4 linked regions of the Drosophila melanogaster genome follow. The protein of the gene in region 1 purifies or fractionates together with the protein of each later gene. This does not show direct contact. Each region holds a gene or a part of one and is shown in the gene's direction. Other genes may lie near its edges. The genes, in order: Rab4, RhoGAP68F, Galphao and Vps52.

Region 1 (6,983 bases):
CGTGACAAGGGAGCAAAGGAGAAACGCCACTCACTAAATGCTTTGCTGGGAGGAGGAGCTCCATTAAGTCTGCTGCAGACCAACCGCCATTCGGCTGAAATTCTTAGCCTGCCCCATGAACTAAGCCGCTTGGAAGTTTCCAGCTCAACAGCTCTAAAACCCACGTCAGCCCCACAGACATCGCGTGTACTTAAGACCACTGTTCAGCAGCAGATGCAACCGAATTTACCCTGGGGATACTTAGCCCTGTTCCCATACAAACCACGCCAAACGGATGAGCTGGAATTAAAAAAGGGTTGTGTTTACATTGTGACCGAACGATGTGTGGACGGTTGGTTCAAGGGAAAAAACTGGTTGGACATCACTGGAGTGTTCCCGGGCAACTACCTGACGCCCCTGCGCGCCCGCGACCAGCAGCAGTTAATGCATCAATGGAAATATGTTCCCCAAAATGCAGACGCCCAGATGGCACAAGTACAGCAGCATCCAGTTGCACCAGATGTGCGACTCAACAACATGCTGTCCATGCAACCGCCTGATTTGCCACCTCGTCAGCAGCAGGCTACCGCCACGACCACCAGTTGCTCTGTGTGGTCGAAACCAGTGGAGGCGCTGTTCAGCAGAAAATCGGAGCCCAAGCCTGAAACTGCCACAGCTTCGACTACGAGCAGCAGTTCCTCTGGAGCAGTGGGACTTATGAGGAGATTAACTCACATGAAAACACGCTCCAAATCTCCGGGAGCGTCCTTGCAGCAAGTTCCGAAAGAAGCTATTAGCACAAATGTGGAATTTACAACAAACCCATCAGCTAAATTGCATCCAGTACATGTAAGGTTAGATCCGCAATAATAAGTTATCTTTATAGACCAGAATAAAAGTTTAATTGTTTTGTCTCTTCAGATCCGGCTCGTGCCCCAGTCAGCTGCAGCACAGTCAACCGCTCAATGAAACTCCAGCAGCCAAGACAGCGGCACAACAACAGCAGTTCCTACCCAAGCAGCTGCCTTCCGCTTCTACGAACAGCGTTTCGTACGGATCGCAACGCGTGAAAGGAAGCAAGGAACGTCCTCACTTGATTTGGTTCGTTAGGCTTAATTTGAATGCTTTAACTTTTAACTGACTCTTGGATTTTGATTCAGCGCGAGACAATCATTAGATGCAGCTACATTTCGCAGTATGTACAACAATGCCGCGTCGCCGCCGCCACCTACTACTTCCGTGGCCCCAGCTGTCTACGCCGGCGGTCAGCAACAGGTGATTCCTGGAGGTGGAGCGCAATCCCAGTTGCATGCCAATATGATTATTGCACCCAGCCATCGGAAGTCGCACAGCCTAGATGCGAGTCATGTGCTGAGTCCCAGCAGCAATATGATCACGGAGGCGGCCATTAAGGCCAGCGCCACCACTAAGTCTCCTTACTGCACGAGGGAAAGGTGGGTTTTGCAATACATTATTGTGAGCTTAGAGATTTACTAATGCAACCTTTTATCGTAGTCGATTCCGCTGCATTGTGCCGTATCCACCAAACAGTGACATTGAACTAGAGCTACATTTGGGCGACATTATCTACGTCCAGCGGAAGCAGAAGAACGGCTGGTATAAGGGCACCCATGCCCGTACCCACAAAACCGGGCTGTTCCCCGCCTCCTTTGTTGAACCGGATTGTTAGGAAAGTTATGGTTCAAACTAGAATTTATTAAGCGAAATTCCAAATTACTTGTCTAAAAGGATTCAATCGTCGGTCTATTCGGGCTTCCAAATACGCAATCTCATATTTCTCTTTTCAAAAAAGAAACCGTTTTGTACTCTTCCAATCGAATGGGCAGCTCGCCGTTGTACTTTTTTATACAATGCTTGATCAAAATAGGCTAGCCATGTAAGACTTAGGGAACAGTTACTTAAGCCTTAGCGATTAGTTAGCTAGAGAAATAATCTAACCGATCCTTGTGCCCTCTACAAAGTTATTTGTAATATACGATACTCAGTAATACCCTTTGGTCGTTTTAACTTATTTTATTCACCAAGCAAAACATCGAGGCTAACTGTGGATTCAACTACGGCAGGCAAGGTTACTCGCTTTTTTCGAACTTGGATCCGTAGATGGGCACGTACTGTAGGACCAGCTTCCAGTCGGTGTAGTAAAGCACGGCCAGGCCAGCAGCTCCTCCGAATCCGGCTCCAGATCGGATGCTACGAATTAAAAGAAACTAGTTTAGTTCTCTGGATGGGGTTATGCAATGTGTGCTTTGGTAGCAGTAAAAGAGCGGGAACACTAATGAATTCATGATGCAGAATCAAGCACGACAGCATATACTTACAAGGAACTCGCTATCTCAGCGTGCTTCTTGCCAAAAGGTATGCGGAAAGCCATTTTTGTTGATTTAATAACTTTTCACACGCACCAAAATGTTCGCAATGAACGCAATAGTTTCAAATGTCCTAAATAATACCACTACAGTGTGACCGTAGGATAGCGTAAAACTTTAAAAGCAAGGTGTGACAACACTGTGCGGCCTACGTGAGAACAACAACTAGTCATCAACAAAAACTAATATTCGCAAAGAACTCATCAAAAATTACGAAATTAAAATGAAAATATCCGTTTTTGGGGAGCTTAACACATTCGAGCTGTTTGTCCTGTCCACTGTGATACCGGCGGTGTTCGTTTTCCTTTGGACTCTGATATCTGGCGATATGAAGGTACGGCAGATAGTGCTTATCAGAATGGTTAATTTTAAGTAATTTTCCCTTTCTGCCCTGAGTTTACAGAACTTCAAGGGCAGCAAATTGGCATACTCAGTTTATACGGCCAAGGATCCCATTAATTGCTATCAAGACTACGAACCAGAGAAGCAAAAGGATACGTAGACTATGTGCCGGGTTGGATTACCAGGGCCCACCATCTTTTATACTTTTATTGCATATATGTATGTATGCAAATTGTGTGATGAATAGAAGAGGGTTTTTGAAAAAAGACAATAAACCTTTGTGGGCTGCATTTCATATTTTGTTTTTTCTTTGTAGCTTTCGGCAATTTTCATATATTTGGAAATATTTTAAAAGTAAACAAAAACTTAATTGCAATATGAATCATATTTTGAACCACCTGGTCACACCCACCCCTTGTTGGTATTTTCGCGTTTGTAGCGAACCTTCTCACTGAAGTGAGTCCAGTCAAAGATTTTAAGGTAATTTTTGGCTTTCTAATTGTTTAAACGCTTACTTATCGACGGATATTGCGGGTTTTGATCGTGTCCTGCGCACTTCCTGGTGCCCATACGCACCAGCAATCCGATAGTCCTGAAGTCTGGCCGAAAAACCAAAACAAACAAAGAAGACAACTACGCAGAAGACGAACAAAAACAATGTCGGAAACATACGGTTTGTCAGCACACATTTAATTAATTAATGCATTTTACTAATTAATATCGGTGCTCGGCGCTCACCTAGATTACCTGTTCAAGTTCCTGATAATTGGCAGTGCTGGCAGCGGTAAGAGTTGTCTGTTGCATCACTTCATCGAGAGCAAGTGTAAGTTTGGTGGTAGCCTGAAAATGGTACACGCCTAATGCATTTTATACATTTTGATGTACCATCAAAGTCAAAGACGACAGTTCGCACACCATCGGAGTGGAGTTCGGCTCGCGGATTGTGAACGTGGGCGGCAAGTCGGTAAAGCTACAGATATGGGACACAGCCGGTCAGGAGAGATTCCGATCGGTGACAAGATCGTACTATCGCGGAGCAGCCGGAGCTCTCCTGGTCTACGATGCCACTTCGCGGGACTCTTTCAATGCTTTGACAAACTGGCTGAATGATGCTCGCACTCTGGCCAGCCCAAATATTGTGATCCTTTTGGTGGGCAATAAAAAGGACTTGGAGGAGGCGCGTGATGTGACCTTTCTGGAAGCAAGCACCTTTGCCCAAGAGAACGGTCTGTTTTTTAGGATTCTCCATAAATTTCCTATCGTAATTCTACGTCTGTTTGTCGTTGCAGAGCTTATCTTCCTGGAGACGAGCGCCAAGACGGGGGAGAATGTTGAAGAGGCCTTTCTCAAGTGCTCAAAGACCATACTGGCCAAAATTGAGACCGGAGAGCTGGATCCCGAGCGCATCGGCAGCGGTATTCAGTACGGCGGAGCTGCTCTCCGTAACTTACAGACACGACAGCGCAGCATCAATAAGCCGGATTGCACCTGTCGCGTTTAAGTCGCATAAGTTGTGCTGATTTATTTCCATTTAATCTCAAACCGGAATGCGCATTCGGATTACCCCTTAGTTGTATTGTGTACTTGTGTGTGTCCACTTTTTTAGTATGTATTTTGTCTTGCTAGATTAATCATTCCAATTGTAAGCATAATGCTAATCGATTTGTTTTTTAACATAACCAATTACCACTTTGAAAACCTATGATTTCGGGTTAACCCCAAATGTTACTTACTATAATTTGTAATTCGTGAAGCACTAGAGCCCTCGAGCAACAAATGATGTATGGCTATAAGCACATGGATCTGATCTAGAGGATGAACAGAATACACTCGGCATTTTTAATGTAAATAAGTAGCGATACGCCGTTGACGACGTCGCCGATTGTAAATCCCATTGAAGCATGCACGCGGTAAATAAAAACGCCCATTGATAAATTCAATTGTATAAAAATATTTATTTCGACCCAAGGTAACAAATATTGTATTGGGGAAGCTATTAAATTTTATTAATAACAATGAAGCTAAAACATTTTAAATGGCAATAATTGATAAAAAAATAATTAAAAACCGTTTGTATTTGAGGAAATTGGCATAGCATCTTTAGATTGTGTTTCCAAATGGGCTGTTTTTGTTTTGATTTAAAAGGTCTTAACAATTTATGGTGATCAAAAATGATTTTTTGGTTTTAGACATTTATGTCTATTAAAGCGATGGAAAAGTATTTTTTAATTCTAAGATATACAGTTAAGTTCATTAGGTGCCCTTTGCTGTCCTCTTCCAAAGGATTACGTCTTGGCTAGAAAGCAAATTCAATGCAGTTTAGCAGAAACTAGACTGGGCTGGAATCATCATATTAGGCGTCGCATTTGCTTAGCTGCTGAAGGGCGTGCTTGGCAGCCGATAGCTTGGCCTGGTCCTTATTGCTCCCAAATCCGTACACCTTGATCGTCTTTTCCATGCAGGTAAATTGACAACTAACCATTACAGTTTCCCCTTCGACGATGGGCGAGCTAAACACGGGCTTCGCATGCTTGTGCTCAACGAGCTGTCGTATATGATTGATGGGCACTTTGCGCGTGAACTCCTGAAGCTCCGGCTCGAAGAGATTGAAAATTACCTCCCAAGTACGTTGGAGATCTCGGCAGTCCAGGTATACGGCTGCAATAAGGGCCTCCAGAACATCCCCCAACGCCTTTGGCACATCCACGTTTGTGGACATGTTGAACTCACCTTTTGGTGGGACTCCTTTCTCTGCTTCCTGAGAAATGCATTTATTTGCATGCGGTAACTCAGTCATATCCAATTCGTCATCCAAGTCCAGCGGAGTCGGCTGAACATCAGCTTCCTCGAGCAGAATGCGCACATAGTTGGTAACCCGGTGACCCTGGCTCTCCTGGAAATTCACGAATTTGGATATGATCTCGGAGAGCTTTGCGTTCTCCGCTAGGATAAAAAAGTGCAACCGATGCCGCACGCAAATGCAGGCCAGCGTAGTATTGTTGACCAAAGCGGAACGCAGATCTGTGAGGGCGCCCGGATTCATTTTCGTATTGTTCTCGAAAATATAGGCAGAGATTAGAAAGTCGAGTATGGCATCGCCAATAAATTCCAGCTCCTGATAGGACCCAGTGATGCGATTAGTGGGATACGAGGGATGGGTGAGGGCCTGCAACAAATATCGTCGATCCTTAAACGTGTAGCCAAGATTTTTTTCCAAATAATAGTGATTTATGAGAAAGCCGTCAATTTCTGTAGTATTCACGTTCGCCCGCATTTTCTTGCCGCCCAGTTCGAGGTTCAGTAACTGAGTAAGCGGCTTGTCAATATCCGCACGGCAAATCTTGAAGTACTCTAGCATCTTGAAGGCATGCTGCAATCCGTAGTTCTTAACGATTACGCCCAATAGCGCCTCAAGGGTATCGGCTATCACCTTGTTGGGAATCGTGACCAGTCCCACGCAGAAGTTCACCTCGGATGAAAAATCGGCACCGGCATAAAAGGACTGCCCATTTGCTCGACATCCCTCCACGAAGCGGTTGTAGTTGATATCGCTGCAGTTGCCCTTCACCAGGGACTCCTCATCGCCGAGAGCCAAGTCACGGAGATTGTGTGGGCCAATAATCTTTGCGAATTCCGGATTTTCTCGCCACAAGGCTAGAACATTGTGGGGCAAACTGATGCCAGGTGGAAGCCATGTGTATCTAGGCGTAAACTGAATGGTGTTGAGCGTTTTGGGAATGTCCGCGTCGATGAGGCAGAACAACAGGTTACGATTAGACACAAGCTTGGATTTGACCTCTGTAAGAGTGCCCTCATTCCAATCCGAATACTTGCTGGCCAAGTAGAGCGTGGCACTAAGTTTTAAGAAGGAATCGCCCAGAATCTCAAGGCGTTCCATGTCGAAAACATCCGCTGCGCTCGAGGCAGTGATTGCAGCCAAAAACTCGCCCTGCTCCGCTGGCGTTATATGTTCTTTGGAAACAGTTTTTTGCAAAATGAGCAGTGGTTTTACCTTCCCGCGGACAGTCGGTTTCGACGGCATCAAAGCTGGCACGTTTGCGTTAGTCTTGGCCGGAGTTCTGTTGCCATAGATATTACCCGTGGGCATATGGAACTGATTTTTTGCCCAGTATTCCTTATCTTCAAAATCCATCTCATTCATCTCACATACATTACCAACGCTAAAATGATAGTAGTAGTCCAGCTCTACGGGATACGTACTCAAAAGATTTCGCGACAGATCAACCGGCTCCATATACTTTTGCCAGGGATTTT
Region 2 (7,445 bases), on another chromosome or scaffold:
CCCAGGCAGCGCTGAGCACTTCCTCCTCCACACCTGCAGATAAGGATGGTTCCAAAAGTGAGAATCAAAGTTAACTTTATATATTTTGCATTCGTTTTATCACAAAGACTTGCTTCATTATCAGTTTGTATCCTTCTGAACGCCACTGGCAATGTGCCCATCATCAAAAAGCGAACCTGGACCGTAGATCCCAACAAGACAGTCGGCTGGATACAGACGTTCATCCACAAGTTTCTGAAACTCGATGCCAGCGAGCAAATTGCACGTAACAAATGAAGTTCCAGAGAACCCTATCTTATGTGTCATCTTAATTTTTAGTTCCTGTACGTTAATCAGACATTTGCACCTGCCCCGGATCAGATAATCAAGAACTTGTACGAGTGCCATGGAACCAATGGGAAACTGGTGCTCTACTACTGCAAGAATCAGGCGTGGGGCTAAATCGATACGCACATGACTTTGCTAAGTCTTAAGTATTTATTCGACTACTGTGTAATTTTTATATTATTAAATGTGAATAAGATGATGTTGCGAAGTCGATTTCACACTTTATTTCCCACAAAACGGGATCCTAACAATGGTATTTAAAGAATATTACAAGGGTTCTAGTCTCCGCGCAGAGCCTCCAGCTCGTCAGCAGCCTCTTTCGAAATCCTGTGGTACTTGGCCACCGATGGTCGGTAGTAGTAGGCCTGGTAATCATTGCGCTCCGACATCTTGCGACGTACTTCGTCCTCAAGGAGTCTGAAAGGAAATATATTGTTTTACAATGGGATATAACTGGGTTGTTTCCGTCGCATTACCGAATCTGGGCTTTTTCGTTCTCCTCGTAGAGATAGTGCAGGGATTTCTCGTAGTTTTGCTGATCCGAGTTCAAAATGTAGCGGGAAATAAAGCGCGAGATGGGGTGCTAGATAATAAAGAGATATCTCGGAATTACAATCTTAGTATCGATTGGTTGCCTTTCCGAGCCCATCATACCTTCTCGTACTCCCAGTGCTTGGGCTCATAGCCCTCGGGAATCTCGGCGAGCTGCGCGGGTCCCACAAAGATGTTCGCGTAGAGAACCAATGCGGTGACTGGGATGACGCCGAGCATTACGTAAAAGTGCAACAGATCCTTGAACTTGTCCCACTGGAAGCGGGATGGCTTGATGATCATTTGGTGGTGTCCATGATCGCCTCCCATTCTGCGCAGCTGTTGGTGCAGGGCTAGAAATCCAGAATATATGGTTGCGTAATGTGAAGTGTGTTTACGGCGGATATTTTCAAGAAATGCTCACCATTCCGGCACGCGGGCTCTTGCAGGACAGCCCGGTAGCTGGCGAACTTCGCCGCCGGCGACAGCAAACGGCTCCAACCGACCATTTTCTAGTAGTTTTGCGTAAATCTCACGATATTTTGGAACTGGTCGTGTCAAAGTTGCGAGCAGCACGGCAAACGGTCACACTTTTTGCAGACCGTTTTTCTGTTTTGATATATCGATAACAGCAGAGATGGCAGAGTGAGTTGATTATTGCTGCTCAAGCACTAAAAATGTTTAAAAAAAATAAATAAATTGTTTAGGTTAAGAAGATGTGGCGAACAATAGATTAAAATAATTCACAACGGCTATTACGATCTAAATTTTTATATAAAATCCATTTTGTAATTCGTGGGAAGAGAATTATAAGCTTATTATTAGACATTGTCAATATACACAGACTTGAATTCAGTCACTATATAAATAGTTCTTAGCGATATTTCGTGCATGCTGCTCCGTGACACGAACAAGTTTTTCTGGTGTTCGTTAGATTTGTGCTTTTTTGCACCACTAATGGGCTCGCCAAACCAAAGTTTGCCATCACTAACCATCGACAAAAACAACGTCGTCTGGCAGTATAAAATTAACGAAGATTTTTTCCCGTACTGATAAAAGGTACTTTCCTAGCTAAATCTGACTCACAAACAGAGTAAAAACTTAACTGAAATGAGAAACGAAAGCGTGATTAAGACAAATTCATCATTCGTATAAAATGTGATGATTTCTTGTGACTTATAGAAATTCGTAACTTAGTATAACAAAAAAGTAAATATCATTTAAAAAGGCTAGACACAAATGCGCAGTTTACTTGCAATTAATCGGTTGTTGTTGCACAGAAATTGCGTTTTTCGACAAGAAACTTGTGAAATTTTTACTCAACTTCTGCGTGTGTGTATGTGCAAACAGTGGAGGGACAAAGGAGCCTACTCCCATTTACAGTGGCGGCCTAAAGGATTTGTCACCTTTTGAAACAGTGGTGTCAAAAAGGATGTGTACTAATCTCAGTTTACGCTTGAAAATTATTAATTTATTTCCCATTTACAATCCAATCACGTATTTAAAATAAAGTCATACAAGCTGTATGTACAGTGCACCCTCCCTAGTTAGGACGCTCAAAAAAAAAGAACTTCCGTTCTTTTATATACTCAAGTTATCACAAGAAATTATCGCGACAATATATAACCATTTTTGGCAGAAACGAAGGAAGCAAACTACGTTTCACTTAAAATTGTGCCTTTCTATGTGCTTTTGTGAAGCTTTTTGTCGAAATTGCGATAAGCAGCCTCTGTGTTTTTGTGTTATCTCTTCGAAAAACAATTCACTTGTCTTGAGACCGCAGTCATGGCCACTTTAAATGTCCCCACTGTATGTATGCATGTTTGAACATTAGAAATGGAGGCGGTGGGCGTCTTTCAGGGCCAACTTAGCACTAAGACTTCGAGCAAAATCATTGATGTAAATGAATGTGAATCAGCCGTGCCATACAACCTGTACTATATCCAATACCAAGAAATAACCATCGAACAAGCAACCCAAACAGCCAAGAAAACTACATAGCTTGCTAATGACGTCATCGATAGAGTACTGGCAACTGCTGCTTTTGGCTAATTTATTCTCACATTTCAGCCGCATACATTCTACATGCCAATAATCGAGCCCAACGACTGACTGAGCCACGTCCTGCGTCACCGCGAGTAATCCAATCACATCGAACGGATAGCACCTGAATCCGCATCCACTCCCATCTCCACCGCCATGGACGCCCATTCGCGTTTCGCGCCGAGATTACCAGGTAAGTCCGCCGGCCGAACGGCCAAGTCATGCTTTTCGATTCGAATATATATCTAGTTTTGATCTTTGGTTCTGTAACTGCTTAGCATTGCCATTGTCCAGTGATTTGCCTTATTTGAGCGTTCAGAAATAGTTCCCAAAATAAAGAACTTCGTTAATACTAACTACCTAATCTAATGAAAGACGTAATTGTAAAAGAATTATCTGTTTGATTGCCTAAATATAAAGTAACTAATTGTGGGTACACCATATGGAAACCCATTTTCCCATCATTCTCTTTTAACTTTGAGCCCACCATGAAGATTATAAAAACGGGCCTAAAAATATGAGGCCAGGTTTTCTACAATACCTCACCTCCAATCTGTGTTTCAAGTTTTGGGAGTCATTTCTTTGCGCTGCTTTATTTCGTTGTTTTCATTGCCGTATCGTAGTTTCTTTGAGGGGGGAAGTGCCCTCGTTTGAGAACTAACAGTTAAAGCCAGTAATTACGACTAATTTTGTGCCCCGCCCCGCCCCGCCTTGACTAACCCCCAACCGCCGCCCCCTAACCAAGTTCTTTGTTTTTGGTATCAAGTTGCGCTACTAACCCCATTTCAAACTGCATTATCCAGCCTATGTGGGCAGCTTACCGTCTCCTCCTGTACATACATAACTTGCATTTTAAAACTATCCAATGTGGTTTGTTTGCTTGGTTTGTTGTGGATCCTATTTGTTAACTACTTTTCGCTAGCTGTGTTGTTGCCAATGTTTGGTTACCCGATGTGTTTTGTGATCGTATGTGTTTGCCCTAGCCCTTATAGCCTTACTTCATAGTCTATAGTCTAATCGCCCTAGCTTAGAGTTTCCTAATCGTCTCTGTTCTGTTCTGTTCAGTAATCGTCTGCCAATTATATCGAAACCGTAAGACTGTTGATTATACAATCAGATGCCAATGTACTTAACAAATGAAATTTCTCTGATTCATGTCTATTCACTTACTCAAACTCAATCCGAACTAAACTTGTTGCCTCAGGCCGTCAAAATACTTAACTGAAAGCATTACTTGTAAGATTACGTTTTTGGAATACAAGTCCGCGCCAGGGAAACCTACGAGATTTATAAATGCCTTCCTCTCGCACCCCAAGGTCCCGCCATCAATCCGATCGTCGATAACTCGGATGAGCCCCAACCCAGTCTCTCCGATCTGCACGACTTCGAGCCGAAGCTAGAGTTTGATGATACCGAGCTGCTGGCCCCATCTCCGCTTGAAAGTAAATTGAATATTTAAAGAATCTACAAAATCATAGTCAAACTAATTCTTCGATTTTTCCCAGAAGATGTTATGGTCGGTGATTTCGTTCTGGCCGAAGGTAAGTGGCGGAATCTACTTCTCCTGGCCAATGAATAACGTTTCGCATTACGCCTAGATCCAGAACTTGAGCCCGAGGAAGATGTAAATCCGCTGGAGGACGACTTCGAGGACCAACTCAGGGAGCAGTCTGAAAACTTTCAGACTCCCAGAAACAAATGCGATTTCCTGGGAACCGATAAGCAGGGTCGCCACATCTTTGGCATTTATGCATCCCGCTTTCCCGAAAAATCCCAACTGGAAGGATTTGTGCGGTAGGATTCATATTCGAGTACATTTTTTGTTCAATCATTAATCTATTTCCATTTGTCTATCAGGGAAATCATCAAGGAGATCGAACCTTTTGTGGAGAACGACTACATTTTGGTTTACTTCCATCAAGGCCTCAAGGAGGACAACAAACCATCCGCACAGTTCCTGTGGAATTCGTACAAGGAGCTCGATCGCAACTTCCGCAAGAATCTGAAGACGTTGTATGTGGTTCATCCGACGTGGTTCATACGGGTCATTTGGAACTTCTTTAGCCCGTTCATTAGCGACAAGTTCCGCAAGAAGCTAGTCTACATCTCCAGCTTGGACGAGTTGCGCCAGGCGCTCGGCCTGAACAAGCTGAAGTTGCCGGACAACATCTGCGACCTGGACGACAAACTGAACCCCAGCCGGAAGCCATCGACACCGCCGCCCAGCAGCAATATAAATGCATCCCGGCAGCAGCAGCACAAAATGGCGACGACGCATCAATTTGGTGTGCCCCTGAAATTCATTGTGATGAACAGTCCGTGCTTAAACTCCATTCCGCCAATTGTGCGCAAGTGCGTGGACTCGCTGTCCATAACGGGCGTGATCGATACGGAGGGCATATTCCGTCGATCGGGCAATCACTCGGAGATCATGGCGCTCAAGGAGCGCGTCAACCGCGGCGAGGATGTGGATCTGAAGAGCGTTAATGTCCACGTGATAGCCGGCCTGCTGAAGAGTTTCCTGCGCGATCTCGCCGAGCCGCTGCTCACCTTCGAGCTGTACGAGGATGTGACCGGTTTTCTAGACTGGCCCAAGGAAGAGCGTTCGAGGAACGTGACGCAACTGATACGCGAAAAACTGCCAGAGGAGAACTATGAACTGTTCAAGTACATTGTTGAGTTCCTGGTCAGGGTGATGGACTGCGAGGATCTGAACAAGATGACCTCCTCCAACCTGGCCATCGTGTTCGGTCCGAATTTCCTGTGGTCGCGCAGCACCAGTACCTCCCTGGAGGAGATCGCTCCCATCAATGCTTTCGTCGACTTTGTGCTGCAGAATCACAAGGACATCTACTTGATCGACGTCAATCAGCGCACAGTGTCCGTGGACTAACAACTGGCCCGGCCACCAACAAGTCCGTAATTGTAAATTGTTTGATTTTAATGTTAGTCCTAAGTGAACCAATGGTTAGCTAAAGAGAGAGCACACAAAAACGCAACAGAAACTAGAGAACAGAAGGCAATGTCGTGTATAAAGTGTACTGTAATCCTAAGTTGAATTTTAAACTGTGTGTATGTGTGTGGAACTGCTTGTAGCCCCAACTCCACGCCAACTGTCCAACCCCCCCGAAAATCACAATTATTTACCCCCAACAAGCGCTTAATACGATTGATTTACCAAAGAAATTTGCTCGTGTTCGCTATGCGACGAACAGGAGAGAAATTTGATATGAGATGTTATTATTATATACTACGTATTAATTCAACGCACATTCCCCCATAACCGAAAACGAATCTTGGTTGCGTTGCTGAAGGCACATGCCGAGCACAAGTGGAGTTGTGGCGAACTCAAAAATCGTACTGTGTAGTCTTGAATTTCCTTATAGTCATACAAACAATTTTTATAAAATAACGGTATTGTTAAAAATAAAGCAAGTGTTAAAACAACTTGGATTCTTATTAAAAATTAGATAATTATTTTAAATTATTTAAATACTCAAGACACATTTTGAGGACCAAACTTGCGCAAGATCGCAAGCGATTTTTATTGATATCGAAACAAATCGGTCCAGTATGGAATATTAAATTTATCATTAAGGGTCACAAGGAGTCGGCTTAAATGTTGATGTTCTTCAATTTGCGATTCAGATCGTTGAACTTAAGAATTTTACGCACAAAGAAGTCGCCATACCGATGTGAAACCTTGGTGTCGGCTATGTGGATCATGTCGTCGTCGATGTAGAAGTCCAACTAGAATATTAATGTATATTATTATATTTGCCATCAGAATTTGTCTATATTAATCTCACCTCGGAGCCAGACTTGAATGTGCCTTCCAGGCCGCTGGGTCCCTTGCTCCACACTAGGTTGCGCATTTTGTGCTTGAAGCAAAGCAGGCGAATCAGCAGCTTCGACACGTCATCCTCGCTGGCGTTGGGATCGATGAAAGATGCCAGTTTGGTCAGCGGCAGGGTGGTGTACAGCTTTAGATACGAGCGCGTTGTGGGCAGATCCTTCTGTTGGCGCACCTCATCCATGAAAACCTGCAACTGGTGTTCCATGGGGTCCTTGACGTAGTCGTCCATGGGTGCGTCTACAGCTGGCGGGCAGGGGCTCACGAAACGTGGGCAGGCGAAGACAAAGAAGGACTTGAAGACCTCCAGATCACCGCACTGCATCTTAAACATGGCGTCGTGGTAGTTCTTTTCCCTGAGCACCTGCTGGATGGACTCGTCGATGCACTGGGGATGGAGTACCAGGCAGATGGCCAAAAGATGGTACATCTGCTCGGCCTGCTTGTTGATTTGATCGTTTTGGTATGAACGCGTGCTGTACAGCTGCTTGGTACGCTGAATGTACAGGAGGATATCAGAAAAGGTGCGGATGGCATCAGCGTAGCGGCGCATCATCATGTAGGCGAAGCCCACGTAGTACGACGTCGAGATTTGGCAGGCGGGGATGTGCGAATAGGCGGACTTCTTGTGGATCTCAATGGGCTCCAGCACCTTGATGGCCTGGTAGTAGTCACCCAGCAGCGAATGAAC
Region 3 (7,592 bases), 7.1 Mb from region 1:
GGCAAGGAACTGTCCAGCATGGGCCAGCAGCTGGAGAAGGAGAACCTAATGACTGAAGAGGAGCGTCAAATGTTGGAGGTAAACTATAAAAATGTATAAACAATAGAAACTGGTATCTTGCAGACTAAGCACTCTTTGTATTTGAAAAATAACTTCAATAAGAATATGATTATCCGTAATCGAGAGATATTCAATTTATGGTTGTTACAGGATGCATTTAGTCTGATTGCCTACTCTAATCCTTGGTCCAGTCCGCTGGGCTGGTTGCTGTGTCCCTCGCGACGTGAGAGTGTTTCCACCACACTCAACTCGGCCATATTGGGTAAGTCTTTAAACACTTGTCTCGAAACGAAGTTACTAATTACTATGATTATGCAGAGTCCCTGAACTTCGAGCGTCGTCCGCCGCTGGAATACCTGGTGGCTCACGCCTCGGAGCTGATCAAGGTGATCGGACAGCACTCGCTGGGCGAGGACGCTTTCATTACCATCGACGATGTGTTCCCGCAAAATTGACCCAGTTCCCCGACGCTGCTGAAGATGTTCGAGACCACGCTGACCCTGCCGCGAACCAGTGTGCTTACGGAACCGTTGGGCAGCGCCGGAACCGGATCTGGGCCCTCCACATCAACGGCTGCCGTGGCAGTTCAGACCAGCAAACGACGCCGAAGGCGGCGTAACAAACGTCGCCGCAAATCCTCCCTGTCCAGCAATACCGATGCCCCGTCGTCGCGGACCTACGATCCCGTGATGACGGGCAGTACGCTCCGGTCGGCAGCTGTGGCATCGGTGGGCGGGGGCACGGGCACGGGACCAGTGCGTCGGGGTCGTCGCAGGAGCGGGGTCAGCTCATCTTCATCGGCGGCAGCGGCTGCAGCAGCGGCAGCGGAGGAGGAGGCGGAAGAAGCGGAAGCGGAGGCGGCTCGCCAGGAGGAGGAGGAAGCGGAAATCTTGAGCGGAAACAGCAGCCCATCGATGTTCGTCGATCCGCAGGACTTCTTCGAGACACTGGACTAAATTTAGATTATTTACAATTTGCAGTAGGTTAAATTTTGTTGTTACTTCCGTTCTCTTTCTTTTTTACCTGCGCAACCGGCTTCAGTGCGCCTATTTAAAACTAATCGCCGTTCTTTTAATTGTTCGATTATGCTAAAGATGCTATGCGTTTGGCGGCCTTTGATTTGGCGTGATTTTTAATAACTTTTAACATATATTTTATATAGCCTCTCTAAGCATAAAGTGTGTAATATTATGATGTATAATTAAATTTGCGAAATGTGCTGCGACACGACCCTTGAAATTGAATTAGCCCTTTGTTTTTCGCTTCCACCGCCCGAAACACAACAATCACACACCAAAATATAATCTAGAATTGATAGTGAAGGGACTAGCCTGGAGCAAAAGCTGTTCAATCATCTCCTTAGCATGTTAATATAGAACCGAATCCATAGTTAACTGGTAGACATTCGCGTTTTAATTCTCCGTGTTTTCAGCGATTTTCGATGGACTCCGCGCCATCCCGTGTCTTGTGGCAAGACTAAGCAAAAGCAAATGAACATTTTAAGTGTAATGTTTCGCTATAGTGTTTAAGCGTATTAAAATTTAATCTATATATACAAGATTGGTCATACACACATTCGGCAAACATGAATAGAATTTAACTGGATAATCGTTTAAATATATTGTATGGATGTGTATTTCAGGAAAGCGAGAACTGTGTTTTAAAGGGGGTTCAAATTGGATTAAATATATGCCATTCTGACAATGTGTTCAGTTTTATATATTAAAATTGTATCTTTTCAAATGTCATGATTTGTTGATTAAGCTGAAGTTTTCAACAAATAAAAATAAAAATGAAAGCACATTCAAATTACCAAATCACTTGCAACCGTATTATTTATTATTCCGTATAAATGATCGTTTTTAAATACCAGGTAAAATGCAAGTTCAAGTCATTGGTCTTTTAAGGATCAGGAGTAGAATAACACATTCATTTAATACATTGTTTTGTATGCTTATATATATAATATAGTTTATAATGTTCACAAATCCGGCTGCCTTATCCTTTGCACTTTTTCATGATTTTTGACGTGCTCCTTTAGCAGACGCATTATTTCGGTATCGAATTGAGGAGGTGTTGGCTTGGTATCGGTGGCCCAGTAGAATATATCCCAGTCGTTGCTGACACCATTGATCAACTGATCGTACTCGGCGGTCTGCTCGGCATTGAAGTCCTTCAAATGCTTGGCCACAAAAGTGCTCAGCAAGAGATCGTTTTCCAGCATTCCGCGTTTCCTGCTTTGATACAAAAGGCTGCACAAGATAATGAATGATCATAAGTAGGAGTTTGGGATATTTTCATTTTAAGCGTATACCGCTGCTTGCGAGTTTCCAGCGGCTCATCGGGACGGACAGGATATTCCGGAACTGGCAAATGCGGCGGATCATCGTAGTCCACAATTTCCCCGGGTGTTGTGTACTCAGTTTTGTCCAAATTGCTGGCGAGGCGACTTTGGGCCATCATAGGTAGTTGCAGGCGACGGCCTACCGTAGATACCTGTGTCCAATTAAGCAATCAATTATATTTTACTACATTTGGGGCCATAAACTTACTATAAATTGCCGCAACATTTTAGGAAACGACCAAAACAATGATATAACGACAGTGTTGGCTAAGAAAGTTAAGTATAATCGATAGATTCCTGCTATAATAATCGGCTGTTGCTATAAATAGTGCTGGAAAGTGCACACTTTGTTGAATTAATCATTTATTTTATTTAACCGTTCAAACCTCAGGCGAATTTAAATTAAAATAGTTGTTTTATTTTAAATATGAATATATTTGGGAGAATATGCACTGCAATTGTTATGAAAGGTATGCGAATTTTTAATAATTATTTGCAATAATATAAATAAAAAATATATCTCTATTTGTATCACTTAAAGCTCAAATATTGTATTCATGAGATCCTTTTGAGTGGCCTGCTATTTAAAATCCAGATAAGTTTCAAAACATAATAAAAAAATAAATGTCTGTACATACAAAGTGATGCAAAATATTTATTGAAACTAAAGTGAGCATGTTCTTTCATATTTATATAAAACATTTTATTAAATTATATGTATATAAATAGCGGAAGATTTTAACAAATTTAAATTTTTAAATATAAGCTTGTTTTGCAGCAGCTGTTGTTGCGGCCAGTGCTGGTCAACAGCCACCCCCGCCGCGTCCAGTGCTGCGCACCGACGCCGCCAACAGCTGTTCGAACGCCTCGCTCTGCAGTTGGAAAGAGCGAACGAAGCGAGAGAGAGCAGCTAAATTTTCGCACACCAGAAAAGTGCAATTTACCAATATCACTGCGGCCAAAAATACAAGTGCAAGTGCTCGGCAAGTGCAACGGTAAACTATCACGATCGGTGCAATAAATACAGCGAGTCGCGAAAAAGAAGCGCAAAGCGAACGGAACCAATAAGAACAGCCAAACGCAAAAGAGAGCCTCCTGCACACACACGCACACAGCAGGCTGAAGCAGACCCACACACACGCATACACTAGTGCGGTGTGTATACGACTGGAAAACTAGGCGGTGGTAAATGTGAAGCTGAAAAAAGCTGAAAAAAAGGAAAAGGAAAACTCGTGGGGTGGTGGGTGGCGGCCCAGTGGGCGGGGGGTGTGGCGTGTGCAGCGCGTGAGAGTGCGTAGTGCGTGCGTGTGAGTGAGTGAGTGTGTGCGCGCGTGTGAGTGAAACAGCGACAAACTAAATGAAAATTTATACATCCGAAATGGTTAACAGTTTGCATAAAAACGGCATTACTTTTTGCATATGTTAATGTGCTTAGGCAAACGCTCGAAAAAGAAAACTCCACAACCCACCGCCTTTTTTTCCACCAACCCGGCGCTTTTTTAGCGCCTACGCCCACGCTTAATACATACACACTGCATAAAAAACATACAAATAAAACCAAAAAAAAAAAAAAACAAACAAAATTTATAAAAGTTTTATTAAAAGTGTGACAACAAAAAATAAGTGGTATCCAAAAAATAAGCTTGAGTTTTTGGCTCTTTGACCTCGAGACTAATTCACTTACATGATAAATTACCATCGTTCTTATCGCGATCCAGCATTATCTGATGGATTTATCTTATCAGCGCGATTGATGAATTTTGTATCGATATCGCAAACATGCTCCATATGCAAATTAGCTGGCTATCATTGCTTTTATTTTTACTTTGCGTCTGCTGATAAAAAACAAAAGCAACATAATTGATACAGTGCGCGGCCCATTGCACAGACAGTGGCGGTCATAAAATTAGTGCTTGTCTCAGTACAGTACAACATCCATAGAGCGAACGATGTGTTCCATAAACCTTGTAACATCAGTTTAAAATAATCTTTTTAACTATTACATACAAATTAATATACAGCTGTGTTTCTCATAATAGTTGAGTAACAGAAAGAATATTACAATTACAATTACAATTTGTGTTTATACACAGCAGACAAAATTAATTTAAGATAACTCAACATTATTATTTTGAACTCGGCTGTATATTTAACACATCCTTGATATTCATTGGTTCGCCTTATCGATCGCGCACTGTTTATAGTGAATCATCCGCTGACCCGTGTATTTGTTATTGTTGATGGGTTCAATACTCCATTTCAGTTGAAATCGTTAAACTGTACATAAGCAAATAAGACATAAAGAAAAAAGTCCAGGAAAATTGGAAAACAAAAGCCCGAAAACCGAAAAGCCCCGTGTAAATCCGAATCCGAATCCAAATCAGTATCCAAACCCAACCACAATGGGCTGCACCACATCCGCCGAAGAACGCGCCGCCATCCAGCGATCCAAACAGATCGAGAAGAATCTAAAGGAGGATGGAATCCAGGCGGCCAAGGACATCAAGCTCCTGCTGCTGGGTAAGTGCACTTTTCGTCGCTTTTTCTCGTTTTTCCACTTGGGTTTTTCTCACCGGAAATGGAAATCCTGCTCAGCGTTTACCTTTCCACTCGACTCGACTCTATTGTTCGTTCTATTTTGGTGGAAATTGCTGGTTTATCTATCGGCCGCCAGATTCCGGGGCACTTGGAAAATTTTATTTTCGGTTTTATGTGCCGATAGATAGGGGGATATTTATTGCACACACTTTTACTCTGCGGCGGAAATGCTGGATGTACTGGACGCAATTTTGGATTAGCTGCTCTTCAATTTCCATCAAGGCTTATATCAGAGTTCACATTTTTTAGAAGATTCAAAGACTGGAATAAAAGTAAATTCAAAAACTATGATTTTTGTATGTACTGACTGGTTATTTAAATTAAATGTAATGACTTGTTGCCCCACAAAAGGAATCGAACTCAAGGTTATTCCACTCTATTTGAGTGCTGATGAATCGATTCCATGACAAAACTATTTTTAGCGTGTTTTTTTTGGCCAAGGCGAAACCGAAGTAATTTGGGTCAACTTTTGGGTGTTGCATGTGGCATGGATATCCGAAAATAAAATGGACTCATGCACCACTGTGCATGCAACATCTTAGACAATGGCAGCAGCAACAGTTGCATCCGCCCTCGTGGCAGGCGAGTGTGAAAACCTAAACAGTTTCGAGGAGCCATGTGGCCTGCGGATGACTCGGTCCGATTAAAGTGGTTTCAGTACCAAACAGTTCGATAGTGATGAAATAATTACAATGTTTTTAAAAAATATATAAAATAATGACTAGAATTAGCCAAATCTAAGAAAACAGTGCAAATTATCTGAACATAGCTTAAGAATTTAAAGATGCTAAAAAATCATCATGTAGATATTGTCTTTGCTGTCATCTCTATCCTGCATCAGCCTGAATCTCATCGTCGAGTGCATCTGTGAGCTGCAGCTGCAGCCTTAGCCTTAGCCTTAGATTTTGTCCAAGTGCGTCTGCATCCGCCAAAAGATGAGGGCAATCGACGCCACTTGACATTGAAACAATTGCACGTGTGTGCCAGTGGGCGGGTGTGCACCATGTAGCATGGTTTCGAGGTGCAGTGTTTGTTAACCTGGTTGCGCCACTGACACCGAAATGTCAGTTAATCCCATTGACTTTGACTTGCCCCCGAAAACGAGATAGGGATGCAGTCAGGCAGAAAAAGGACAAAGCTGCAATATGCACGGGAATTTCTCTTTCACTTTAACATTGTACACAAACATGTTGCGAAAAACAAGCAAAATCTCCATATCGTGGATGCACTTAAAGCAGCATTCAAACAAACCAAAAGTTAAAGATATAAAGTTTACAAAACATTTAATGCTTAAACCAAAAATAAACCAGATCAAAGTACTTCTTATATGACTTAGTTAAGATAGATGCCTTTTTTTTTTTTTGGAACAAGTTTCTCAAGTTAATACATATTCCCCTGCTCTGTAACCCGTTTTTGTTTGCTGTGTAGGCCCATTACTTCCCACACAGTTGCTCGCTGTTGTTCTGTGCAATCAGGCAAAACTTTTAAACGCCCTAACAAGCAACAAGGAGCAGAGTCGAGTAGCGAGGAGTGCCGAGGAGGGAGTGTATTGCAGCCATGTTGCAACATTGAAAGTGCGACGGTATGGGCGATTCTCTCTGCAGGGGGTGGTGCCCAGAAGCCGGAGTCGGGGGCAGGTCGAGGGGCAGACGAATGGCAGGCGGAAGCATCGAATGGCGGCCAGGAAACACTAACGAAACAATGGACACAGCGGCACCGGACGGAAGGGAGCGAGAGGAAACGTGTACATGTCCTGGGTGTGGCTGCATACTTCACCACAGCACTGTGCCTCTCGAGTGGCGCCTCCTGGCGGAAGTTTGAAGAAACCGCCACTTGAGGCATAATTTTCAAGCCGAAAGGAAAGGCTATTGAGGAAACGTTCGATGCTCGTTTGTTTGCCACTTTGCCGGCCCTTGTGCCGTCGAGTGATATGGCTACGTGAAACAATCAAGAAACAATTGCTAACTCAAACTGACTAGTTGGCAAATAAACGTCGTAGAAGTTTCATTTTTGTAAAACCCCAACATTCCTAGATAGATAAGAACAAAAACTATTAGTTCTTTGGTAGAATTTTAAATAATTATTATGAGTTAAAAAAGATAAGACTCTATGTTTATGAACTCGAAAAGAATTTTGTTTTATCTTTTCCAATGATAAAAAATAATAACCATATTCCAATCAGAAGAACGTTACAAGTTTAAATATTTTTTAAAGTTATAGTTTATATACGAGTTTTTTATATAGTGGAATTTTTACTTTAATTCGTCTGAAAAAGTGCGTAACATCTTAAATATATTTATTGCGATCTGGAGAATATAATTTAAATACGCTCCGGGACCTATTAAGACCAATTCTTGGAAAACATTTCGATTTGTAACTTTGGGGAGAATGAAACATTCCGTTTTTCTAAAGCCTTAAAATGCGTCACCGATTTTTCTTTCAAATTCTTGAATAATTACTTATATTTCTTGATCAAATTATATTTTTTTTTATCAATATGGAGCTGTCGACAACCCATCCAATCTGGAACACCAAACATATGTAGCAAAGCAATTAGGCTGGGACCCGCTTCTCCCAAATTTCGGAGCCA
Region 4 (7,725 bases), on another chromosome or scaffold:
GATGGCATAGTCCACCAGTTGGCGGATCTTGGGCACTAGGCTGGCATCGTACTTGGCAATCAGGTGCATGGGCATCGTGATCAGGCACACGGAGTTGCAGTTCCGCACACTGGCCATCAGCAGTGTGAGAAACTTGATCAGATCCTCGCCGAAGTGTTCGTCGTACCACAGCGGCGATCCCAACGAGGTCAGGCAGACGCGGCACAGGTTATTCTTGGTCCCAGCGACGAAGCTCTCGTTACGCAGCAGCTGTTGAATATCGTTGAGCAGTCCTTTGTACCGAGGGTTGTGGAACACCTGCAACGGCGAATCCTGGCTGCCTGTTTTTGTGCTACTGGTCACGCTGCTGCTATTGTTATTGTTGTTATTATTGTTGTTGGCAGAGTTCTCCTCCTCCTGGGCTGGCATCTTCTCCTGCGGAGCGGTCTCCGTGCCCGGAATCGGTGGGGCATCCTCCACGGGCTGCTGCTCCAGCGACGGAGTGGTTGGGGAGCTGCTCTTGGAGAACTCCTCGTCAATGACGATGTCCAGATGCTTGGGGCTATCGTCCCACAAGGTAGTCTTGACATTGTAGAGCATCATGGAGTCCATCTGTTCCATCAGATTGAAATGGTGTCCGATTTTTGCTGTGGCATGTTCCGAATTCACCAGCGGCAGATCATTGTATCGCCAGGCGATCCTTAGGCCATTTTCGGCGCCAGCATCTCCCAGCGCTTGCACCTCGCTTTGCTCCATCGATTCCTGGTCGGTCAGCGGTCTGGGCAGACGGCGCAGCATCTCGGCTGGAATGTCGTCCAGGCTGCCCAGAAATATCTCCTGCTTGGAAATCACACCCTCGGCCAGAAAGTACTTGGCCAGCACCTTGGCGTGCGTCATGAAGCGATCCTCCTCGATCAGGCAGATCGAACCCATGGGCAGACCGCCGCCAATGACCACGTCCAAGTACGGATTTCCGCTGGAGGTGATCACCTGCGCCGTGTGCGGTGAGGTGCGGGTGCCGCGGATTGGCTTCTGCACGGTGCGCTTGCGGAAACTGGTCATCTTCGTCGCACAGATTTCGCTAACCTTTATTTTTTGCGTTCTTTTTTGCTATGTGTTTCCTTCTCTTCGCGTAAACTTCTATTTCGATACTTTCGATATTATCTATTCTCGATGGCTGCCAATGGGGGCACACTCTCCAATTGTGTATCGATAGTCAAAACAGCTGTTAATTCGCAAGTTCTGGGTAGGGCGATAGTTTAGCTTTTATTGCTTAAAAATAAATTTGTGTTCATGTTGTATAATTGGTAGAATATAAGAGGCACAAGTCAAGTGTTGTACTAGAAAAGAAACTCATTGATTGCTTGTGTACAAATAAATGAATAATTGAAAAAAATTGGTCTTAAATTCAATTTCAATTTTCACCCAAAAATTAATTTTAATTAAAATTGTATTAGTTAAGTAATTTTTTATATGAACCAAGAAATCTTTTTTTTTTTTGAAAACATAGTTTAGTTCTCATCACCAATATTAGGGTCTTTCCAAAAGCACATCTTACTCCGATAACAAAAACAGCTGTTTTGATGACATACTTTATTTTTGTTGGTAGTTGAGAAAAACAATTGGGAAAAATACCTTTAAATTGGAAAACAAAAATGGCCGAGGTGCCGTCCCCGCAAATGACGGAACAACTGGACAACGAGGAGGTGCGGGAGATCCTAAAGAACACCACGGATCTGCGGCAATATTCACGACAGATTGAAAAGGAGTTTAAGGAGGTGGAGAATAAGTCCATAGAGGGTAAGCACCATGTTCCATATGCAAACTTAGCTCTAATGATATCCCTTTGAATACCAGACTATATAGCGGAGTCGCAGAATATAGCCAACCTGCACAATCAGATAAACGATTGCGACGATGTCCTGGAGCGCATGGAAAATATGCTGATGAGCTTCCAGAGCGTTTTGAACAACATAAGCACTGAGATCACGCAGCTGCAAAGAAAATCCGTATCCATGTCCCTCCAACTGACCAATCGTCAGTCGGTCAAGGCTCAATTGTCCCAGTTTATCGAGGACATGGCCGTGTCCGAGGAGATGATCAACATAATAATGGAAACCCCGGTTACGGAGCGGGATTTCAGCACCCAGTTGAATGTACTGAATCACAAACTTTCGCTGGTCAAGGAGCTCAGCTTCAAAGAGTCAAAGTCCACCAGCGATGTGAGCGATGTGCTGCAGAAGCTTCGACTGAAAGCCATGGCCAAGATTCGCTCCTATCTGCTGGAGCAGATTTACAAGTTCCGGAAGCCCATGACAAACTACCAGATTCCACAGAACGCCATGCTGAAGCACAAATTCTTCTTCGAGTTCATCCTGTCCAACGAGCGGCATGTGGCGCAGGAAATATGCAGTGAATACATCGATACGATGGGCAAAATTTACTATAGCTATTTTAAGGTTGGTTTTTTTTTCAAAGTTGTGGAAGCATGAATTTTCTTAAATTCATAACTTTCTTGCAGAGTTATTCCACACGCTTGACGAGCCTCAAATTCGAGGAGTCCTGCACAAAGGACGATCTGATGGGCATCGAAGATAATGCATCCAAAGGTTTATTCTCCAAGACGACGAGTCTAAAGCACAAGAGCACCATTTTCACAATAGGAAAGCGAGGCGATATACTTAACCAGCAGCTGGAGGCACCAATTATAGTGCCACATGCGCAGCTAAAGAATCGAGTAAGAGATGTGATACATACACTTGCAAAGGAGATACATCTCAAATTTTAAACAGTACACAGCGGAAGCTCTCTTTCGGTCGGAGCAATACGCCCTAGTGGACAATGCCTGTCGGGAATACCTATTTGTCACGGAGTTCTTTATGGTTCGCGGCACTCAAGCGCAAGATTTGTTCAACCAAATCATGGGCAAAACCCTAACTCTAATGATTGTAAGTCAATGGTTTTTACTTGCGAAATATTAATCATATCTGTTTTTTGAACCTAGAAAAATCTGGAGACCTCCATACACGACTGTTTTGATACCATTGCCATGTTCCTGTGCATCCATCTCATTTTCCGCTATCAGCTAATGTGCCACAAGCGCTGTGTTCCCGCATTGGATAAGTGAGTCTATTCATGGGCGTTGATGATTTTGGTTCACAATTGGATATTTATATGTTTTGATTTCAGATACTGGGACTCCCTGCAGGCGGTAATATGGCCACGTTTCGAACTAGTATTCCGCTTGAATATCCAGAGCATACATGACTGTGATCCAACCAAGTTCAACAAGGAATTGGGACCGCACTACGTAAGTATACGATTTAAAGTTAGTACGGGTTACAAATTATCTTAAATCGATGTTGATAGCATTCTAAAAGTCAAGAGAGGGCCAATAGAGATAACTTTTAACCATTTCTTTTGAACAAAACGCCTTGTCATAATATAATACGTATACTTTACAGATAACACGACGCTACGCAGAGTTCAGTGCGGCCATTGTGGGAATCTCGGAGCATTTTCCTAATGAATTGGTTAGCCGACTGCTTCTGGAACTGCAAAATGAAGTGGAGTGCTTTATCCTTCGCATGGCCGCAATATTTCCAACGCGAAAGGATCAGCTAATCTACCTGATAAACAACTACGATTTGGTTTTGGGCGTGTTGATGGAGCACACGCGAGATAACTCCAAAGAAGCGGAGGCATTCAGAGAGCAGCTCAACTCCCGCAGTGCGGAATATGTCGAGGAGATCCTGGCCCCTCATTTCGGAGGCATTATTCAGTTCGTCAAGGAGTGCGAGCACTTCTTCGAGAAGGAACAAATGGATGAGCTGCGCAAACAGGAGCGAAGAAGTCTGGCCTTGGTCGCCAGCTTCTCGGCCAATTGGAAGAAATCTCTGGAGGAGCTAAACAGGGAGGTGCTTCTCTCATTTCCCTCATTGCTGACGGGCTCACAGCTTCTGCAGCTTGCGTTGGCCAGTTTGGTGCAATACTATCACCGATTCCACAAGCTCCTCACGCCCAATGCCCGCGCCCAGCTGACCAATATCCACGTCGTGATGGTGGAGATCAAGAAGTACAAGAGCAATTACTGAGGGACGCTTTAATTGAATCTGTGTGTGTGTCTTCTGTGTATTCCAAATTGAGTAAAGTTCCAAAATAAATGTATGTAAGGTATACGACTTAATCCTCATCCTCGAACATCATCTCGACGAGATCCTGATTGGAGCAGCGCTCGCCATCCAGACGCTGTGGCCGCTTCCAGCGCAACAGAGTGGGCAAGAAGATCAGATGCGTGTTGGGATCCTTGCGGAAGGGGCAGTTCAAATCCTTCCAGCTGCAGTGAAAAACAAGTGTTAATTTATTGCTTACCACGGTTCAGTGATAACAGGCGGCATGAATACAACTCAAGAGCATTGTAAAGCTATCGTTGTTTAATGGTTTTTTTTATCATGAATGTTCTCGGCGTGTGAAAAAGTACTCGAGTGCTTATTTCATCATCGTACAGTTGGGGTTGAGTGACTAGTTTCACATTGCCAAAATGTTTTGAACTTGATAATCGAATGACAAAGGGTTTTGGCAACTGAATGACGTGGGATATATGCATATATGTACGTCATTCTAAATGACTAAGCCTGTGTTTTGAAACTATTTGGCTATTTCGAACCAAAGAAACCAGCAGATGTTCGCAGTCTCGCAGTGCATGAAATATTAATTCCTGCTTATCTAACTAATCGCAGCTGTTTTCTTCAGTTTGGCGGTATTAACTTACTATGCCCGCTCGCCCACATCCACATGCACGAAGTGCGAGTTGCCCGGGGCCTTCTTCAGCGCATCGTGTATCACCGGCTCCGCTGCAAACGTGAGAAATGAGTTTGGGAATCGGATAGGTTGCGGTTAGCCGCATTGGGATCACGGCATGCTCACCCTTGACGCAGTAGGGGCACCAGCTCTCTCCTTTCTCGTCCTTGCCGCCACTGAAGAGGACGTGGACCGGCTCGTCGCCGTTCTCCAGTTCCTCCATCTTTTTGGTGAACTCATCGTATCCCTTGACGTTGTGTGTGACCACCATGATCTTGCTGGGATTAGTATTCACCGCGCAGTAGCGTCTGAGTATGCGACCGAAAAGCGTTGGAAGCGACGTGATGGCGAACTTTGGAGTAACTGGCTTCTGGAGGGGAATGGACTTCTCCTAATTTATCAGGTTTTCTGACTTTTTGACGTAAAAAAAGCTTACTATCACAGATGGCAGGGTTACCAGCTTTCGAGCGCACTGATACATGGCCATTTTCAAGCCAATGAAAATAATAGATTTTTAGCTACGAGCTTAGATTTTGAAACGTATGAAAGGGAAATAAATAAGAACAGATACGTTGACTTCGAAATTTATTTGTAATATATATGATTTATTTGTAATATTATCTGTGTACCCTAAACATATAAAATTTACTTTCAACAATTTCTTGTTTTTAGTAAATATCGAAATAATAAAAACGCCATTCTAGCTGGCTATAGCCATTTTAGCGGGAATAGCCCGATAACCCGCTAATTGGTGAAAATGTGCAACACTATTTGTATCGAAAAACTAAACAGCTGATTAGAATTCTTTTTTTCGTAAAGTACGTTTATTTGTTTTTTACCATTGATTTCGTCGTGAACGATGTCACGGCTAGCTTTATTGCGCAATTTGGTCACTCAGCGGCAAAATTTGTTGCCCACCAACTTTGCCAGGTTAAAATGTGCGGCGGCGATGCACTGGAGTCCACATTTGCGACAGGAAGCGTCGCGCGGTTTGTGCCTCAAACTTCTCATCAGGTTACATCTGAAATATTTACTATATTATTCATGCAGATGGTGGCGGATCCCTTCAACGATCGCAGGATAACACCCAGGTGTCGACGGATGTGCGCCCCATTGGCGAGAAGATCAAGGAGAACACTAAGACGGCCAGTTATACGGCGATTATAATCGCCGGATTAGGGGTGACCTGCGTGATGTTCTTTGCCATATTCCGAGAGCTATTCTCCAGCGAAAGCCCGAACAATATATACGCGGACGCGTTAAGACGTGTGGTCGAAGATCCGCGGGTACAGGATGCAATTGGTGCGCCCATCAAGGGATTCGGCGAGACATCCAGGCGCGGTCGCAGACAGCATGTGGCGCACTCGAGCTACGAGCGCAATGGAAAGCCCCACATGCGGATGCAGTTCTATGTGCAGGGCTTGAGGAACAAGGCCACCGTGCAGCTGGAGTCCAGAAGGGTATGTGTGATGAATATCTCCCAGGCCGCATTTTTCTAATCCTCACTTTTTACAGAGTGACTCTGGTAAACTGGAGTATCGTTATCTGTTCGTGCAATTGGATCACTATCCCCGCACCACCATCATCCTTGAGGACAACCGTGCATTTGACCCCACCCCCGAGCCAGCGTCCGCTGGATCTTCCTTTGGCAACCTAGCCCTGATGTCCAATAGCCGGGATAAGTAGGCGGATCCTTCCGATCTTCTGCTCTCCTCTTAAATTCTCTGTACATTTGTTATATTTATTATTTGACTGACAATGAAATTGCATTGGGTAACCAAGCAGAGTCACCTTTAAGTTATTCGCCAATCGAGAAGTTGTCCATCTCCAAAATGGCGCCCGATTGGTGTCAGTAGAGCTTTTTCCACGGTATGATCTCCCAGGAGCGAACGATGTGGCGTCCGAAGAGAAAGTCCTTCAGCTTGTTCATTATGTAAAACGAGATGCCGAAGAAGGAGGCGAAGTACAGCCAGAACTGTCCAAGCCGTTCCCAAATGCTAAGATGATAGCGAGCGGCAACTTGGAGCACGTCCAGCTCCAGGTCAATGATGAGACCAGGCTGCAAGCGCGCTGACGTTTCTCTGTAGTATGTCTCCTGCACGGCCAGCTGGAAATATGCTGGATTGGCCTTGACTTGCGCTAGCAGCGATTCCATCTTGAACTGATCTATATTTCCGTTGGTAGAGTTCGTATCCAATTGAACCTGTCGGAACTGAGTCTTGATGTTGCGTCCCGGAAATGGACAGGTGAACTCTACGTATTGCTTCAGCTGCAGCTCTCCCTTCAGTTGAACGTGTCCATTTCTGAGGCGAGCGTGCAGAGGAAGCTGTAACTGATGGGCCAGCACGGACGGAGGCGATAGATCGCACTTGTGCTGCAGTTCAGCTTCAAAGAAGACCAGCAGATTGAAGCTCACCAATCGCGTGGGCACATCCTGCAGTTCCAGCTGAAAGTGCGCCCGATCTGTTACGCCATCGTAGTCCACATCCTCTGTCCAATATCTAGTGGTGGTGCAGCTATTCGTATAACTCTCCATTTGCTCATTGAACTGGCTGAAGCTGCTGCAAGCGACCAGGGATTCCTCCTCCTCGTACTCCCCCTGATCCGTTGTGCCCACGAATATGTACTCGTAGTTGAACTCGACATTCGGCTGCTCGTACAGCACCCTCGATTCTGATATTCCAGAATAGGGACTCAGCAAGGACACGAGCAGCACGGGCAGCATCACAGAAAGCGCAATGAAGGCCAGGACCAAAAGCGAGGCAAAGGAGCACAGCGAGTTCTTGTACACGATCGCCGTGTTTGTCGTGTGCAGCGGAATAAATTTCATCTTGTCTTCTGTAAATCAACCTTTTTTTTGAGCACCTGTTTTCTTGACACTTGCCACTGGGTTTGCTATGAAACGAGGTTTTCGTTGCCAGGCAACGAACAAAATAGAATTTCCAC

Evidence for each region.
Region 2: the proteins of Rab4 (region 1) and RhoGAP68F purify together in Drosophila melanogaster (affinity purification with western blotting, with the first as the bait; one study listed by BioGRID). This does not show direct contact.
Region 3: the proteins of Rab4 (region 1) and Galphao purify together in Drosophila melanogaster (affinity purification with western blotting, with the first as the bait; one study listed by BioGRID). This does not show direct contact.
Region 4: the proteins of Rab4 (region 1) and Vps52 purify together in Drosophila melanogaster (affinity purification with western blotting; one study listed by BioGRID). This does not show direct contact.

Annotation. Positions count from the first base shown.
Region 1 is NT_033778.4:17,570,334-17,577,316, forward strand, and holds Rab4 (Rab4), read left to right. Parts: upstream 1-3,128; 5' UTR 3,129-3,365; coding exon 3,366-3,381; intron 3,382-3,450; coding exon 3,451-3,531; intron 3,532-3,601; coding exon 3,602-3,934; intron 3,935-3,997; coding exon 3,998-4,209; 3' UTR 4,210-4,646; downstream 4,647-6,983. Other genes in the region: POSH (plenty of SH3s), read left to right, coding at 1-833, 901-1,080, 1,140-1,433, 1,495-1,669; UQCR-6.4 (Ubiquinol-cytochrome c reductase 6.4 kDa subunit), read right to left, coding at 2,070-2,190, 2,319-2,371; CG42239 (uncharacterized protein), read left to right, coding at 2,590-2,700, 2,770-2,868; Dcr-2 (Dicer-2), read right to left, coding at 5,062-6,983.
Region 2 is NT_037436.4:12,137,035-12,144,479, forward strand, and holds RhoGAP68F (Rho GTPase activating protein at 68F), read left to right. Parts: upstream 1-1,833; 5' UTR 1,834-1,917; exon of another isoform or gene 1,918-2,067; intron 2,068-2,928; 5' UTR 2,929-3,057; coding exon 3,058-3,094; intron 3,095-3,966; coding exon 3,967-3,993; intron 3,994-4,105; exon of another isoform or gene 4,106-4,137; intron 4,138-4,217; coding exon 4,218-4,343; intron 4,344-4,406; coding exon 4,407-4,442; intron 4,443-4,499; coding exon 4,500-4,695; intron 4,696-4,758; coding exon 4,759-5,794; 3' UTR 5,795-6,346; downstream 6,347-7,445. Other genes in the region: Atg12 (Autophagy-related 12), read left to right, coding at 1-57, 125-261, 319-441; ND-SGDH (NADH dehydrogenase (ubiquinone) SGDH subunit), read right to left, coding at 606-744, 804-910, 982-1,211, 1,283-1,367; eIF3l (eukaryotic translation initiation factor 3 subunit l), read right to left, coding at 6,517-6,651, 6,711-7,445. UniProt on the Drosophila melanogaster protein: Functions as a GTPase-activating protein (GAP) for RhoA/Rho1 during gastrulation by converting it to an inactive GDP-bound state.
Region 3 is NT_033778.4:10,434,708-10,442,299, forward strand, and holds the start of Galphao (G protein alpha subunit o), read left to right. Parts: upstream 1-3,277; 5' UTR 3,278-3,399; intron 3,400-3,540; exon of another isoform or gene 3,541-3,644; intron 3,645-3,763; exon of another isoform or gene 3,764-3,785; intron 3,786-3,898; exon of another isoform or gene 3,899-4,030; intron 4,031-4,663; exon of another isoform or gene 4,664-4,667; 5' UTR 4,668-4,738; exon of another isoform or gene 4,739-4,806; coding exon of another isoform or gene 4,807-4,924; intron 4,925-7,592. Other genes in the region: RanBPM (Ran-binding protein M), read left to right, coding at 1-78, 211-322, 379-515; CG12895 (uncharacterized protein), read right to left, coding at 2,042-2,312, 2,375-2,556, 2,613-2,630. UniProt on the Drosophila melanogaster protein: Guanine nucleotide-binding proteins (G proteins) are involved as modulators or transducers in various transmembrane signaling systems.
Region 4 is NT_033779.5:5,517,726-5,525,450, reverse strand, and holds Vps52 (vacuolar protein sorting 52), read left to right. Parts: upstream 1-1,552; 5' UTR 1,553-1,634; coding exon 1,635-1,779; intron 1,780-1,836; coding exon 1,837-2,438; intron 2,439-2,500; coding exon 2,501-2,716; intron 2,717-2,771; coding exon 2,772-2,927; intron 2,928-2,983; coding exon 2,984-3,102; intron 3,103-3,168; coding exon 3,169-3,289; intron 3,290-3,443; coding exon 3,444-4,073; 3' UTR 4,074-4,161; downstream 4,162-7,725. Other genes in the region: Elp4 (elongator complex protein 4), read right to left, coding at 1-1,041; cl (clot), read right to left, coding at 4,162-4,315, 4,751-4,832, 4,906-5,050; CG7382 (uncharacterized protein), read left to right, coding at 5,639-5,768, 5,830-6,239, 6,295-6,465; CG14020 (uncharacterized protein), read right to left, coding at 6,629-7,609.